3 linked regions of the Rattus norvegicus genome follow. The protein of the gene in region 1 interacts with the protein of each later gene in a biochemical or structural test. Links are inferred from orthologs where the notes say so. Each region holds a gene or a part of one and is shown on either strand. Other genes may lie near its edges. The genes, in order: Clspn, Usp20 and Csnk1g1.

Region 1 (4,650 bases):
GAGCTCTTCCTTCTGTTTTTGGTCTGGCTGCTTGGATTCTGAGTGTTGGCGCCATGGAAGGAACTCTAACCTTCAGGGACTGTAGCAGCTAACGTAGCCATTCTGTAATACTGTCTTAAAGGAGCCATCGAAGTGAGGAGAAGGTCTTTAGCTATTGGTCAGTAGAAATTGTACTTAGTAAACATCTATGTAGCTGTTTTGCCTCAAGTTTTGAGGCTTGACTGATAAATTGTGGCTTCTCTCTGAGTTGCCCAGGACTTATCTGCTCAGTTGTTAGGGCTGGCATTTGAACACAGGCGCATTGAACTCCAGAACCATTTCTCTCATACAGTACTCCAGTCACCAACTGCTGTTTTCTCTTACATTAGTCTTTGTTAATGATTGATCGAAAAGGTCCACTTCATTGTTTCCTTAGTGACACTTGCTACAGTTTTAAAGTCATGAGTATAAAATAAACAAGAGTTCTTATTACGTCAGCTTTTAGGCTTCTTACCTTGTTTAAATATGGAAGAGATTCTACCCAGCCTTGCCCAGAACACTTCTTTCTGTTTCTCTCCAGCCAGTCGTGCCGTGGCTGTTCAGGAATCGAAGTCTGTGCTCAGTAACCCTTTTGAAACCATCAGAGCGGGAGGTGCTCACCAGGTTAGTTGGAACCATGTTAATCTGACATCACGGTCTGTAGATCAGTCTGTCATCCAGAGAGGGAGGTGGCCCCAGGACGTGGGAAGGCCTTCCACAAGGTAGAAATGCATGCCCTCAGTACCGGGCTAGGCAGATGGGGTGGGTGTCCTCCTCCTTTGTGGCATTTGTGGTTTGATATCAGGTAACTCTTCTTCCCTCAGCTGAAGACAGGCTCCCTGCTAAACCAGCCCAAAGCTGTGCTTCAAAAACTCGCTACCCTGTCTGACCTCAACCCCAGCGCTCCCCGAAACTCAAGAAACTTTGTCTTCCATACACTTTCTCCCACCAAGGCAGAGACAGCAAAGAGTTCATCTAAGCCTCAGGTAGGAGTGCTGTGTGGTACTTCCCAGAGTCTATTGGTGGGGCTTTATTTCTTGTTTTTTAAAGATTAGTTTGTATTTTACCTATATGTATGTACATGTTCTATGTGTGTGTCTGGGACCTGGGGAGGCCAGAAAACAGCACCAGATCCCCTGGAACTGGGGAACTAGAATTACAGCCGTGGGTGCTGGGAACAGAGCCTCTGGTCCTCTGCAAGGACCTTAACTGCTGAGCCATCTCTCCAGTCCCCAGATATATTTGTTTTATTTTTTAAAAATGTGCGCACGCGCGTGCGTGTGTGTGTGTGTGTGTTTGTGTGTGTGTGTGTGTGTGTGTGTGTGTTGAAAGTAAGAGAACTTGCCATCGAGCATGAGGATCTGAGTCTGAATCAGCACATATAAAATGGCAGCCGTGTGCCGTGTATGGCTGTGCTATTCTATAACCCGAACATCGGGCAGAGAAAGGCTGCTGGCAGGCTATCCTAGCTGAAGTGTCAAACTTTCTGTTCAGAGACAGACAGTCTTAAAGGAACAAGTCAGAGAGCAATGGTGGAGATCCCAACATCCTCCAGCCTCCATGTGCATAGACATGGCATGCACCGTGCACCACATGCATACATCACACACACACCCAAAAAAGTAAAATAAAATGAAATAAAAATTCTTATCTAACAGCTGTTGCAGTGTTAGAATGTTTCACACCTCAAGACTTATAGTGGAGTTGCTGCTCCAATGGGCAGTTAGCTTTTAAATTTGCTTTCAATCTTTGTTTGTTTGTCTGTCTGCTAGTCCTCTGTGCTTTAACTGAGTTCCTGAAGAACTCACTGAAGGAGAGCACTTGTGTGTGTCTCGAACTGGCCCTGACTCCTGTGTTCTCTCTAGGTGAGAAGAAGGGGACCATCGTCAATGATGTCACCGTCCCCTAAGCGGCTGAAGACAAATGATAGCAGTCCAGGACCAAAGCGAAGCATCTTCAGATACTTGGAAAGCTAACACCATCCGGGATGCCAGTGTCTGTGGAAAGTACTCAAAGTAGGTCCAGCACGGAGGGGTGGGACTGCTGTTTCTGCCGATGACCTCTCCTTCCCTCAGCACCAACACATTACGAGCAGAGCTTCCCCTTCTCCCCACCACACAGCTCTCCACAGCATTTTCTTTCCTAGTTATTTTTTAGTTTGGCCACCAGAGTTCCCAGCATCGACTTACAGAATAATTGAAGTCTCACTTCTTCCGTTAAGCACTTGACATTTTCTTCCTAGCAGTTTCCTGGGTTGACACCACTTTCAAGTAGAGGTGTTCGTTGGAGGAAGAAAGTGTGGCATTATAGAAAATTACAGAAAGCACTGAAAGCCAGCACTGGGATGAGGCCTCCACAGCCACGCAACCTCTAACCCAGTAACCAGGCCAAGAAGCACAGTCCTGTCCTTCTGTGTCTTGTAAGCTTCTAGCCTTGATCTCTGATTAACCTTTATCGCCTTTGAAATAAGGACGTAAGCTGGTACCTAGTTGAGAAAGAGGCTGTCCCTCACTTTCTGCAGTGTGGGAGGAAGATAAAGGTTAAACCCAGTGTCCATCCGCACTGGATAATCAATGGAGAACAGACCTTCCCTGGGACTGGAGGAGTCTCAACTAACAGCATTTGTTGGAGAGCCTCCCTCCCTTCTGCAGAAACCCGACCACTATTTATTGCTGCTCTCGGGCCGAGTTTCTTGGCCTGACCATCAGAGACCACTTTACTACTTCATCACTAATGTTGGGAGCAGACCAGCAGAATTAGTAAAAACGTTGCAGAGAGCCGCCATTAGTTGCTTTCTTCCACCAGCCACTGGGCTTTCAGAAACGTAGACCAACTCCCTCCCGTTGCTGCTTTGCAAAAGCCATTGCAGGGGAGAGGTGGGCGAGTGTGGAAGCGAGCGTGGGAGGCTGGGGGAGGCCGTGTCCATCTTTTACTGAGAGACAGAACGCAGCCCATTCAACTGACGAAACGAGGATGGAGGTTTTCTGTTGGGTGCTAGGGCTCTTTGGTTTTGTTTTTTTCTAATCCTCAGGATAAGGATACTGACTTGGACCGAACACACAGTTGTACATTTGTAATCTTGTAATGGGAGAGATGTGTATAAAGCTGTTTTAATATGTATGTAGTTTTCAATAAATCTCACTGCCCCGAGGGCAGGGTTTGCTGTCCAGCTTCAGCGTTCGTTCTTCAGTCAGTGCCTGAGTTGAGAGAGGATTTGCTTTTCAGTAAGATCCCTCCCAGGGACTCTGCATCCCGCATAAAGGGTGCTGCGGCTGCCCTACGCTGGCTTCTCCATCCACAGGAAGTGACCAGACAACCCACTTAGTGGTCTCAATTCAGGAGGAGGAGAGGCTTCATACAGTCCTCCTGCCCTGACCCTCTGAGAGACCCTTTCTCCTTGGCTGACCTCCATGTGCTTCAGTGTTACTCTGGATCCAAGGTGACGGTTATTGCTGTTCTGCGCTTTATAAAAAGCTCCTCTGAGGCCCCTCCTCCCCTGGGCAGCAAAGCTGGGAAGTGAGGCAGCAGATCCCAGATCCCTTTTCTCCTCATGCCCTGCGAGTAGTAATTCACTTGGGAGCAAATGGGGCCTTGCCCAGGTTGAACAGGCTTCCCAACCTCTCCACATGCTCCTCTTGGGAGAAGTGAAAAGAAGATCTGACCACTAAATAGAAGAAAGTCAGTACCTGAGAAATCTGGGAAATAAATTACTTTTCTTTGAGTATCTGGGTAAATGCATTCTATTTTCTTAATCTTGCTACATTTCATTTAATTTTAATCTTGCTTCATTTCATTTAATTTATGTTTGTATGTGTGTGTGTGGACACACATGTAGAAATAAGAGGATAATTTGCAAAAGTTAGTTCTCTCCTTCCACCATTCCTCAGGTTTGGCAGCAAGTGCCTTTACCTGCTGAGCCCTTTTGCTGGCCCCCAAGAACGTAGTCTTTAGCTTGCGCTTGCAAGCTTTTCTACCCAGTCTGTTGGTCCCCAGAATAATGCCTCGGAGGCTGGTTATGTTTGAGTAAATGCCTAGGCCATAAGCTTAGCCTCGTTCCTCGACCAGCTCAGAACTTACCTAACCCTTTTATCCTAGTCCTTATCTGCCACATAGTTACCTCTCCTCAGTTTCAGGTGTCTGTCTCCTTCAGAGTTCCCACGCCTGACTCTGTCCCAGAGTTCCTTTCTCCCTCCATTTTGTGCCTCAGCTAATAGGCCATCAGTTTTTATTGACAGGTGGTGCCTCCATACAGTGCACAAGAAATTCTCGCTGCACTTTAGAGAAGAAAGAATGTAGTCTTTAACCATAGGTCTCTTTTCATTACGAAAGTACACGTGCCAGAAGTCATGCTAAGCTTCCAGCTTTTTTTTTTTTTTTTTTTTTTTTTTTTTTTTTGTTCTTTTTTTTTCCGGAGCTGGGGACCGAACCCAGGGCCTTGCGCTTCCTAGGTAAGCGCTCTACCACTGAGCTAAATCCCCAGCCCCAGCTTCCAGCTTTTTAACAGGACTGAAGAGTTTCTGCCTGACCCACATGCTGTTTGTCCAGCTATTGAGCTGTCACCATCTGTCCATCTGACTTCTAGTAGGACTCAGCTCACCATTTTGGAGATTACCTGTTAGGAGGAGCGAGAGC
Region 2 (5,952 bases), on another chromosome or scaffold:
AAGTGGCCCTTATTCCAGACAGAGCTGTGCTGTCTTCAGGCAGGGTGGACACCATCTGGTGGTGCTGCTTGGCTGTTGGTGACATCCATCTGGATTCCAGCAGAAACTGCTTCTCTTGGTCCTTACATTTTCCTGTGGACATTAGACATTCCGAGTCTAAAGCCAGGCACAGCTCTGGGCCTCTCTTGGTGGCCATAGGCTTCCGTGTGCTTCCACATGGCTTGAGAACTCTTGTAAAAGGAAGGAGCAGTGGTAGATAGCTGAGAGGATTTGTCTCCACTCAGTCCTGACCTCTCCCGGGGACTTCTATCCAAGGTGAAACCTCAGGGCGGCTGCCTAGGAGTCCACTTCTCTCATGTGCTCCAGGGAGGCTTGGAGCCCATGTCTGCCAGTGCCCTGAGCCCTTGAGGTCAGCTGCCATCACCACCTCAGTAGGATGGCTCTACTGGCAGGCCACCTCCTAGCTTCCTGCAGGACTGAATTAGGTACTGGGTCCTCAAAATGACACCATATTTGTAGGAGAAGCTACTTAGTCCATGTCCTACCCATGTGAGTCAGGAGAGTGGGACTCTGCATCCAGGGCCTCTCCTGCCACTGTGTCACACACAGGGTGTGGCATGTGAGCAGGCAGGAAGATGCAACAGTAGAGGAGGGATCAGCGTGGCTGCCTGTGTTGGGTGGCATTGTCAGTGCAGTCCTCTTGACAGGTCTGGCTTTCAGTGTCCTGCACTTTCATCCTCTGGGGTCCCTGCTGCCCTGCTGACCCCTGCTTAAGGAAGAAGGATACTTCAGTGGCTAGATGTGGCTGCTTATCTCTCTTCCAACACTGTAGAATCAGAGTTGGAATTGGTCTTGTGGTTTACACCCAGGTCCCCTGGCTGCGTGACCTGGGAGGAGTCCTGTAGTATCTCTGAACCGAGATTGGGAGGGAACCAGAGCAGAACTATGGTGGAAACTGCCTCAGGGGACTAAGCTGCTTGTCTGCACTGTGTCCGCCAGGACCTTGTGGGTAGAAGCAGCAGTGCCCATGGCGGCTCTTTATCCCTGGAGAGCCCCCATGACATAATCCTGGTTGCAGGACACCCAGGAGTTCCTACGCTGCCTGATGGACCAGCTTCACGAGGAGCTCAAGGAGCCCATGGTAGCTGCTGTGGCAGCTCTCACTGATGCTCGGGACTCAGATTCCAGTGACACAGATGAGAGGCGTGATGGCGACCGGAGCCCTTCAGAGGACGAGTTTCTGTCCTGTGACTCGAGCAGTGACAGGGGTGAGGGTGATGGGCAGGGCCGTGGTGGAGGCAGCTCAAAGGCTGAGATGGAGCTGCTGATCTCAGACGAGGCGGGCCGAGCCATCTCTGAGAAAGAGCGAATGAAGGACCGCAAGTTCTCCTGGGGCCAGCAGCGCACCAACTCGGAGCAAGTGGATGAGGACGCTGATGTGGACACAGCCATGGCCTCCCTTGACGAACAATCTAGAGAGGCCCAGCCACCGTCACCAAGGCCTACCAGCCCCTGCCAGACCCCAGGTATCAGTCAGCCATGTCACTGGTTGGGCCACTGGGAAGTGACAGACTGTAAGCCCTGTGTCTGTTGCCTGCCTAGCACTAACATGCACTAGCTAGAGGGTGGGCGGCTTAGCCCCTGAACCCTCCTCACAGGCTGGGAACAGCCTCCGTGCTCGGTTAACTAGGCTTTCAGAGCCACAGCCCTGCTAGTCTTGAGCCTCGGTTGGGAATGGATTGATAATACCCCAGTGTGTTTGATGGGGTCGGGGATGGACATAGAGGAAGATGGTGTGGGAAGGCAGGCGTTATCCCTGGGAGGATATGCTGGCATGCTCTCTTGCTCTGGCCTCAGAGCTGGCATGGAGGGCACTAGCTTGGCTGCCCTGGCCCAGAACTTCCCCTTGCTGTCCCCAGAGCCAGACAATGAAGTCCACATTCGCAGCTCCTCTCGCCCCTGCAGCCCTGTCCACCACCACGAGGGCCATACCAAGCTGTCCAGCAGCCCTCCTCGTGCAAGCCCCGTGAGGATGGGGCCATCGTACGTGCTCAAGAAAGGTTCGGGGGCAGTCATGAACTCTGCTGGGGATAACATAGTGACCAGTTTGGGGCACTTCAACCTTGGTCCAGGCTGTGTGCTGCTCACTTGAGCCCTTAAACCCTTGTAATAGCCTTGGGGTGTGAGAGGGAACCCCATTTTATAAACAGTAGTGCTAAAGTGCCAAGGGGCGAAGTGTGTAAACAGTGAGGGCTCCACACTGTGGCTGAGGAAGCCACTGTCTGTGCCTGCGCCTGCCAGGCAGGGGAAGCTGGCCTAGTCCTGTGCTGTGTTCCCAGCCCAGGTGCCGAGTACTGGTGGCCGGAGGCGGAAGGAACAGAGCTACCGCAGTGTCATCTCAGATGTCTTCAATGGCTCTGTCCTCAGCCTGGTGCAGTGTCTTACCTGTGATCGGGTAGGTACCTAGGGGAGGCTGGCATCCCTTACCACCTGGGCAGGGTGGACTCTCCTGTGCCATTCCCTCCCCCAGGAGCAGGCTGTCTGCTTTGTCTGTCTAAGCAGCAGACACTGGCAGGAGTGGGCAGCAGGCTGATCTTCACCATATAGGTGTCTACCACAGTGGAGACATTCCAGGACCTGTCATTGCCCATCCCTGGCAAGGAAGACCTAGCCAAACTTCACTCTGCCATCTACCAGAATGTACCAGCCAAGCCGGGTGCCTGTGGGGACAGCTATTCCTCCCAGGGCTGGCTGGCCTTCATCGTGGAGTACATCCGACGGTATGCCCATCCTGCTAGCTGGGGCTTCCAGTCTGGTCTGGCTTTCCTGGGTCTACCAGCAATTCAGGGACAAGCATTCATGGGGTCATGGATCAGGGGAGCTGGAGGCCAGAAGATAAAGAGGAGTTTGCTGGGTTCAGGGTCTTGGTCACTTTGGAATAGCCTGGACTAGACACTCCTTGAAGGTGGAGGACAAGTGACAACCTAGAGAGTGACCAAGCAGCAGGTAGAAATGAGGCACCTGCCAAGCTCTGGTCTGAAGAATCACCAGATACTTCCTTAATCCCCGAGGCGCTGGCTTAGGGAAGAGCGCCAAACCCCTCCCCACCAGCCTATGTACACAAGATGTCCAGCCCCAGTCAGGTTGAAACCGACCTCAGCATGCCCATACCCAAGGACGACAGCACCTGTCATCTCTTTCCTGTGTATCTAGGTTTGTGGTATCCTGTACCCCCAGCTGGTTTTGGGGACCTGTTGTCACACTGGAAGACTGCCTGGCTGCTTTCTTTGCTGCTGATGAGCTGAAGGGTGAGTGGCCCGGCTGTAAGGAGAGGACTGACTGTCGAGCCCGTAGGGGCTGTGCCCCAGCTAGCCTGCCGCCCACGCTTAATGCACCGAGGGCCACTTGGCCTTATGGGACGGACCCTGTTCGATTCCACTGATAGTGCATGCCTACAGCCCAGAGCTTCAGAGGTAGAGCAAAAGATCGGGCTTGAGGGTCATCCTGGGCTATATAGTGCGCTCAAGACCTCACTGCCTGAGGCGAGGCCTGGGCTACATGAGAAACAAAACAAAGGAGATACATAAATGTTCACCTGCTATCTATCTACTAGGGCATGCTGGGAACCTCCCAAACTGCTGATCTGTCCTTATTTCCCATCAGATCAGTGGGCAGAAGGGACGTTTCACTTTAGCTCTGTGCTTCCTTGATTGATTGTTTGGTTTTCGGTTTTGTTTTGAGACAGTCTCATGCAGCCCAAGCTGGCCTCATATTCATTGTGTAGGCCACATTGGCCTTAAACTCTAGCCTCCACTTCCTCTAGCTGAGGTTGTTGGTGTGCACCTCCATGACCAGCTTGGATGCTTAAATGTAGGTTAAAACTATTTCTCTGTGCACTTAGTGTGTGCAAACCGCTATCGTAGGATGGAGTCTGAGGACAACCTGGGGTTGATTGTCCTCCTAGTGTGTGGGTCTTGGGCTCAAACTCAGGTCGTCAGGCTCGGTGGCCAGGGCTTTACCTGCTGATCCGGGTATCAGCCTCCTGATTTTTACTTTACTTTTTTCTCCAGTTGTAAAACTACACCATATTTTATAGTTTACAAGTGTTGTGTACATTAACATCACTATGCCGCTGCCGCCACCTCCATTCACAATATTTTCATCTTGCAATATAAAACTATATCTATCAAACAGCTCCTGCCCCCTTCTCCAGTCCCTGATAGCCAGCGTCCACTTTGCTGTGTGCTCCCCCCACATCCCACACACATAGCATTTTTTGGGTTCAGGAGATTGACTGCAGAGCCTTGTGGTTGCGGGCCTGTGTTCTAGCACAGAGCCACACCCCAGCTGGTGTACTTTCTGAGTGTGAGACTGACTGACGGAGCCTAGTGCCCTCAGAGTTCCCTCGATGGCAGCATGGCTCAGTTTTCTTTCTATTTTTAATCTGTCTTCTGGATAAGATATGGACAAGAATTTCCATTTTTATCTGTCTTGTGGACAGACCATACCCTCTGTGACTCCATCAGAGTGGACGTGGTCCACCCCTACATCAGCTGCCGTGAGTGCCACTGCCGTGGCCCTCTGCCAGCACTGAGAGTGTCCTCGTCCGCATGTGCTTAGCAGTAGGCTTGCTAGATCCGTGGAACTCCGGCTCCCCCAGGGTCTTGCCAGCTCATTGCAGAATAGTTGCAAGCTTCCTGGGCCTGAGGCGTCACCAACTGTGGTTTTGGTCTGCATCCTCTGATAAGTGATACTGAGCATCTTAAACATGTTTGCATGGGGTGGGTGGACGTGGGGCTGTTCAGCTTCCAGCATCCACTGGGCAGCTCGCAACCATCCTTGACTCCAGTTCCAGGGGACCCAGTGCCCTCTTCGGATCTGCCCAAGCACTGCATATGTGGTACACAAATAGACATGGTGGAATACCATACACGGAAAATAAAATACATAACCTAAAAGGAACCTGTTCGTCAGTGGGAGTGGGCGATCACTCAGTGGGCAATGTGTTGGCTGAGCCCAAGTCCCCAGCAGCCCGGTGAAAGCCGGCTATGGTGGTATGTGTCTAACTCCAGTGCTCAGGGTGGCCAGGGCCTTACTGGCCAGCCAGTCTATATGAATTCCAGGGGTTTGGTCAGAGACCGTCTCCAAGCATAATAGAGGAGGATGAGCTAACGTGACCTCTGGCCTCTGTACATGCGCACACAGGTGACTTCTCAAATGTGTACTCATAACTCGAGTGCGCACACATGGATCTCCCTCTTTGGAGACATCTCTTCTAGTCTTTCGTGTTGAGGTTAGGAGTTCTTTATATTAACCCCTGTCGGGTACAGATTTGAAGAGGTTGGAGTGTGTCTCTGTTGGAAGAGAGGTTGCCTGGTTGCCCCAGGCCCTGGGCTGAACTCCCAGCCCTGCACAAGCGTGGTAGTAGGCCCCTGTGGTCTAGCACTCTGGCGACAGAGAGGACGGTCTGGAGCTCTCACTTGTTCTAGCTGTGTGTGGGAGGACGCGAGACCCTTTCCGGGAGCACCGAGACACGGTTTGTGACCGCTCTTCTCTGCGTGCATGGTTTTTCTTTTTGTATTTAGCTTTACTGTTTTAATTGTGTGTGTGTGTGTGTGTGTGTGTGTGTGTGTGTGTGTGCGTGCGTGTGTGCGCATGTGCAAAGGCCAGAGGTCTCCTGAGGTATTTTTTGTTGAATGTTTTATCTGAATGTATGTGGTGCCTACACAGTGCCTACAGAGTTTAGAGACAGAGAAAGACATGGGATCACATGGGACTGGAGCTGAGGGTTATTTCAAGCTCCTGATTTTCCTCCACCTCTTTAATGATGAGAATATGGGTGGGAGCCATTACACCTGGAATTTTATAGCACCTACACTTACTTGGATTTTTGATCTATTTTTTTTAATATTTTTATTGCTGTATGTGTGTTCACAAGCCTCTTTGCACAAC
Region 3 (6,034 bases), on another chromosome or scaffold:
GTACTCATATATAATAAATCTTTTTAAAAAAGGCAGAGATTATTAAATCAGTTAGATACAAAATATCTATACTAGTAAGAGACCTCTCTTTGGATCCACACAGAGAGCTGAAGGAGCTGCTACTTGTGTATTCACATTAAATGACAACCTTGAAGACAGCTTCAATTTTCAACAGTGAATACAACTATCCTGTATGACTCCATACTGAATTTGCCAAAGCCTCAACATGACTTTTGAGTCTACATGCAATACTAATGATAGTAATAGGGGGTTAGGACCTTAGCTCTATTGGTAGAGTGCTTCTGTAGTATGCATGGAAGCACTGGGTTCATCCCCAGTACAGCAACACAGTGAGCTCTAGACCAGTCAGGGCTATGTAAATCTGCAAAAATTAAAACAGCAGTATGATAAGAACAACAGCAGAGTACCAGTTATATTTCAAAATCTTAAAAGCACTGAGTAAATAAACAAAATGCCTAAGTAGAAGCTAGCAAGACCACTTACTAGATAAAGGTGCTTGCCACACAAACCTGACTATCAGAGTTCAACCACTAGAACCCACAAAAAGATGGAAGGAAAGAAGTAACTTTCAGAAGTTGTCTTCTGGGGCTGGAGAGATGGCTCAGCGGTTAAGAACACCGACTGCTCTTCCAGAGGTCCTGAGTTCAATTCCCAGCAACCACATGATGGTTCACAATCATCGGTAATGGGATCTGATGCCCTCTTCTGGTGTCTGAAGACAGCTACAGTGCACTCACATTATACATTAAATAAATAATATAAAAAAAGTTGTCTTCTAACCTACATATGAATACTGTAATATACATGTGTCTACCTACACACACACACACACACACAGAGAGAGAGAGAGAGAGAGAGAGAGAGAGAGAGAGAGAGAGAAAGAGAAAGACTGGACCACCACAAACAAACAGAGCAAATAAAACCCAAAGTTTTATTTATATTTTAGCATTGCTTTGGGAAACATTATTTAAAACCAATCCCACTCTCGTAAGTTTGCTCTCAATTTAGCTACTCAGCAGAAGCATCCAATATACCCAGGAGAGTCCCATGACCCTCAGCCAAATTCCTGGATCAACGAATTATAGTACGATGGAGGCTATGGACATGGTTTAGTGTAAAAAGTCTAAGTAAAGAAGCACAAGGACCTGAGTTAATCTCAGGCACTCAAGTAAAAAGCCAGGCATGATGGCACACAACTATAAATCAAGTGCTGGGGAAGCAGAGGCAGATAAATTATTAGGGCTGGCTGGATAGTAAACCTAGCTTACTGAAGTGATAAGTTGAGAGAGAGAGAGAGAGAGAGAGAGAGAGAGAGAGAGAGAGAGACAGAGACAGAGACAGAGACAGACAGACAGACAGTCAGACTGAGACTCTAAAAACAAAGGTGAGAGAGGGGAATGATGGCTCATCAGTTAAAAACAGAGAACCCGAGTTCAGTTATCAATACCCACATCGCACAGCTGACAGATGCCTGTGATTCCATCTGTAAGGAATGTGACATCTCTGGGCTACAAGGACATCTGCATTCATGTATACAATACCACAAACAGACAAGAAATTAAAACAATCTGGATGTGGTAGCTCACACTTTTAAGCCCAGCATATGGAGGCAGAGGCAGGTGGGTCTATTTGAGTTCAATGCCAACTTGCTGTACAAAGTGAGTCCTAGAACAACAGGGCTGTATAGTAAGACCCTGTCTCAAATGAAGAAACAAACCTTTGAGGCTAAAGAGATCACTGGGGCATTAAAAGCAATACCTGCTCTTCCAGAGGACCCAGCTTCAATTTCCAGCACTCACTTGGTGGCTCATGACTTTTATTTCTAGGGGTTCTGACTACCTCTTCTAACCTTCCTGGGCACCAAGTACACATACGATACACATACATACATGCAGATAAAACATTCATACATATAAAATCAAGTAAGTCTAAAAAAATTAAGGAATGCCAGCCTTGGTGGTGCACACCTTTAATCCCAGCATTTAGGAAGGGGAGGCAGATAGATCTCTGAGTACCAGGCCAGCCAAGACTAAACACATTGAGATTCTGTTTAATTAACTCAGGTAAATTAAGAAAAGCATTCACCCCCAGCTCCGAAAAAAAGAAAAAAGAAAAAAGAAAAAAAAAAAGAAAAGAAAAGCATTCACACTCATTTTGTATATGAGCCCAGTTCAGTTCCCAGCACCTACACTGAGCATCTTACAACTGCCTGTACCACCTCCTGCAGGGGATCCAACATCCTCTTCTGGCCTCTGAAAGCATATGTGCACACACACAAATACACATATAAATACACATAAGAAATAAACTGGGGCTAGAGAGATAGCTCATTGATTAAGAATACATTACTCTTGCAGAGGACTTGAGTTCAGTTCCCAGCATTCACATCAGTTAGCTCATAAATGTCTGTAACTCTAACTCCAGAGAGACCCAACACCTGGCTGTCACATGCACACACTCACACCAACAAACATAATTAAAACAAAACAAACACCACAGGTGGAAGACTGCTGAGAAAGACACCTGAGGCTCGCCTCTGCTTTCACCTGCATCTCTAGATGGAGGCAGGAGAATCAGCACATGGAGAGTTCAACACCAGGCTACCTAAAGCACTGAAATCAGTAACAGAACAATAACAAAACCCCACAAATAAAAAACTCACAAATACCAAACTGTTAAAATTTCTCTATGCAAATGCAAGTATTTATACTTTGTTTTAAAGTTTTAAAACACTGGCTCATTTGGTAGGGACTATGTCTTAGTTTTGTAGCACCTTACAATACTTAAAAGTCTTGATGAGTTGAATATTACTGTTTATAACAGTTAAATGTTACTATCTAAATTAAAATGCTATTTTCAAATAAATAACCCAAGAGTTTGATGGGGAAAAAGTAGTGAGGCTAGGGCGATCAGTTAACACAGAATGTGTAACTGAGAAAACACGAGGATGTGAGTTCCAATCCTACACACCTTCCTAAAAGGAGCCAGGCATGAACTGTGCTTGCCTGCAGCCCAGCACTGAACAGCAGAGAGAGGTGGACCCTCACAACTCAATGGTCAGACAGCCTTGCCAAAAGACCAAGCTTCCAGTTTAGTGAGAGCTTGTCTCTGAAGGTGGTAAGGTAGAGAGGGACAGAGGAAGATACTTGATGTCTTCTTGTGGCCTCCACATGCATAGGGGCACCCCCCAACCCATTTATAAAGAGGCACCCATACACACATGCATACACATGTAGGTACTGCTTTTACACACACGTAAAATAAGAAAAATACACATTATACCAAAAGTAATACTACTGTATCTACAGAACTAGTTCCAGGACATTACATGACATTACAACTAAGTTACACTAAATTCAGAATGTTATAAAAAAAAACAATATATATATATATATATATATATATATATATATGTATATGCTACAGTTAGTGAAAAATTAAATTCTATGATGCCCTGTTTCTAGGACTGGAACTTCACTATTCCATGACTACAGTATCAACGTGTTATGTCCCTTTTTATAAAGCACACCAGAGAATAACCTCACGTAGAGGCATAAACTCCCTTCTGGTCATTCTAGTTAAAGTACAACAAAATCTGCACATTTTTATGAATGATAATCCAGAAGTCGGATCTTCTAATAATATAAGGAATACATTTTGAGTATTAAAACTAATTTGGATCTCTCCAAATAAAAATGTATTTGATGAATATGAATAATCTAGTATACCCTTATATAATTCAGTATGAAAAGAAAATCAATGCAAGAAATCTAGAGTTGAATAGAAAAGAATGTCTCATGAAGAGAAACAGAATGTTAAAGAATAAGGACTAAAGATTCTGAATTCTAAACACAGGTAAGCTCCTGACCCAAGTCAACATTTCTCAATCACAAATTAGTAGGAATATTCAAATATAAGTTACAAAATGCTTGAAAAACCTTAAAAAGATTTTTTTTAAACTAAAGAGAAAAAACTCATTGTCCTAACCTGCTCCACACAAATCCCAATGGCCTTGAAATCAGTACTGGTAAGTGTGGCAACTTGGATTGAAAGTACGCTTGGTAACTGCAAAGCAGTGTTTCAAGGACTGAGCTTAGGTTAATCACAGCTGAGTACATAAAGACATTTATGCTGTCAGTACTGTCCTAACAAAAAGCTAAATTTCAAGGCACAGCACAGCCTTGCCTGTGAGAAGGCTAAAACTTCAGGACCAAGGGAAACTGTTAACTCTATAAAATGCAGTAAAAAGTGGGTATTCTTTATTAAATGCTTGTTTCATTTAATGAATCTCACATGTCTAGAGTAGACACTCAGCTCCTACTTTAGCCAGGAAAGCTAGGCAGAGCTGTTAATGGATAAGCACTATGGGAATAACCCAAAACAAAACATCCAAACCTAGCGGTGTCTGTCTGTCTGTCTGTCTGCCTGTCCACCCCCCACATGTATGTATGTATGTATGTATGTATGTATGTATGTATGTATGTGTCTTTCTCTGTCTCTCCCACTCCAACCCACCCCTAACAACCCTACTCCCCGCCCTGTGACTTTTCCATTTTTTTCTTTTCTGTATCTAAGAAAAAATTTTCAAGATAGGCTTCAATAATCAGATACAATAAATAACTTTAAAATATACCTTAGAAGTAATGTATATATAATATATGTATATATATTATTTAATAACTATTAGGAAGAAGAGGGACTATACAGAAGCAAAATGAGTAGGAAATAGAACTGTAGAAAAAAAATTGCAAAAAGAGACAGAAACCAAAAATTATAAAAAGATAGGAAAAAATGAAAGCTAAATAGAAGTCCTCTCTTACAAAATACTTTAATCTTTTTAAATTTTATAAACTGTACTGATTTGTATGTGTGCACATGAGTTCACATTCATGACTAACAATTCCAAGAAGAAATCAAGAAGGAAATGAGACAATTACCACTCAATAGCCTAAGGTAGAAGAAAAGTTCAAGGTTACCAGGGTCTGCCTACTATCTTTGAGGGGAAAAAAAAAAAACCAGATGATCATGAGTTCAAAAATCATCCCAAACCCCCCAACTATATAACCTGGGGATACCGTAGACTGTGTCTCAAAAACAAGAAAAAAGAAAAGGACCAGGACCACTTGGCTTTTGCAAATACATTCATGCAAAACAACTGGTTTGGAACCTAGTGCTCATTATCTACTTCTGCCTTGGGCAGAAGAATGGCTTAGGAAAGAAATAACTCCCCCAAGCTGTACTCTGACCTCATACACATTGTGAGATATGCACATGCAAAAGTGCGCCTGTACATGTGCGCGCACACACACACACACACACACACACGCACGCACACAACATAAATGTGATAAAATTTTTAACGTATTTGCTCCCCAAAAGAATTTATATTTATAAGAAATTTCCAGCTGATGCTGATGCTGCTAATCAAGAAAGGACAGAGGATAGTGGTGCACACCTTTAATCCCACCAGTGTCAGTGGTCTCTTGTGAGTTTGAAGCCAGCTTGAGTTCAATTCCCAGCAACCACATGGTGGTTCACAACCATCTGTAATGGGATCTGATGCCCTCTTCTGGTGTGTCTGACTGAAGACAGCTACAGTGTACTCATATAAATAAAATAAAATCTTAAAAAAAAAAACAAAAACAAAAAACAAGACCCTAGATGAGCTGAGGTGATATACAACCTTAATCCCAGCATTTGGGAGAGAGAGGCAGATGAATCTCTGTGAGTTTGTGGGCAACTATCTACAGAGAGAGTTCTAAGATGGCCAGGGTTACACACACAGAAACTGTCTTGAACTACACATACACGCCCAACGCAGATTCTAGTCTGTCACTTTATATTTACTTCTCCTTATATTACAGTTTTATTTTGTTGTTGCTGTTATGGTTTTCACCAAATAAGTCTTGGAATGTGCCCTATTAACCCTCTTCTAGCCTGTTTTCTTACCAAATCAAATCATAACCATCTAGCCAGATGGTAGTTGGCACATAGCTTTAATCTCAGCACTCTG

The links.
Region 2: of the proteins of Clspn (region 1) and Usp20, one has a biochemical effect on the other in vitro, tested with the Homo sapiens proteins (2 studies listed by BioGRID, with this or other methods). The link is inferred for Rattus norvegicus from reciprocal best matches to the Homo sapiens genes CLSPN and USP20.
Region 3: of the proteins of Clspn (region 1) and Csnk1g1, one has a biochemical effect on the other in vitro, tested with the Homo sapiens proteins (2 studies listed by BioGRID). The link is inferred for Rattus norvegicus from reciprocal best matches to the Homo sapiens genes CLSPN and CSNK1G1.

Annotation. Positions count from the first base shown.
Region 1 is NC_086023.1:144,166,345-144,170,994, forward strand, and holds the end of Clspn (claspin), read left to right. Parts: intron 1-559; coding exon 560-642; intron 643-842; coding exon 843-1,004; intron 1,005-1,883; coding exon 1,884-1,994; 3' UTR 1,995-2,005; coding exon of another isoform or gene 2,006-2,033; 3' UTR 2,034-3,187; downstream 3,188-4,650.
Region 2 is NC_086021.1:34,690,301-34,696,252, forward strand, and holds part of Usp20 (ubiquitin carboxyl-terminal hydrolase 20), read left to right. Parts: intron 1-1,078; coding exon 1,079-1,526; intron 1,527-1,919; coding exon 1,920-2,060; intron 2,061-2,339; coding exon 2,340-2,455; intron 2,456-2,607; coding exon 2,608-2,780; intron 2,781-3,213; coding exon 3,214-3,308; intron 3,309-5,952.
Region 3 is NC_086026.1:75,346,614-75,352,647, reverse strand, and holds the start of Csnk1g1 (casein kinase I), read right to left. Parts: upstream 4,035-6,034; 5' UTR 4,009-4,034; intron 1-4,008.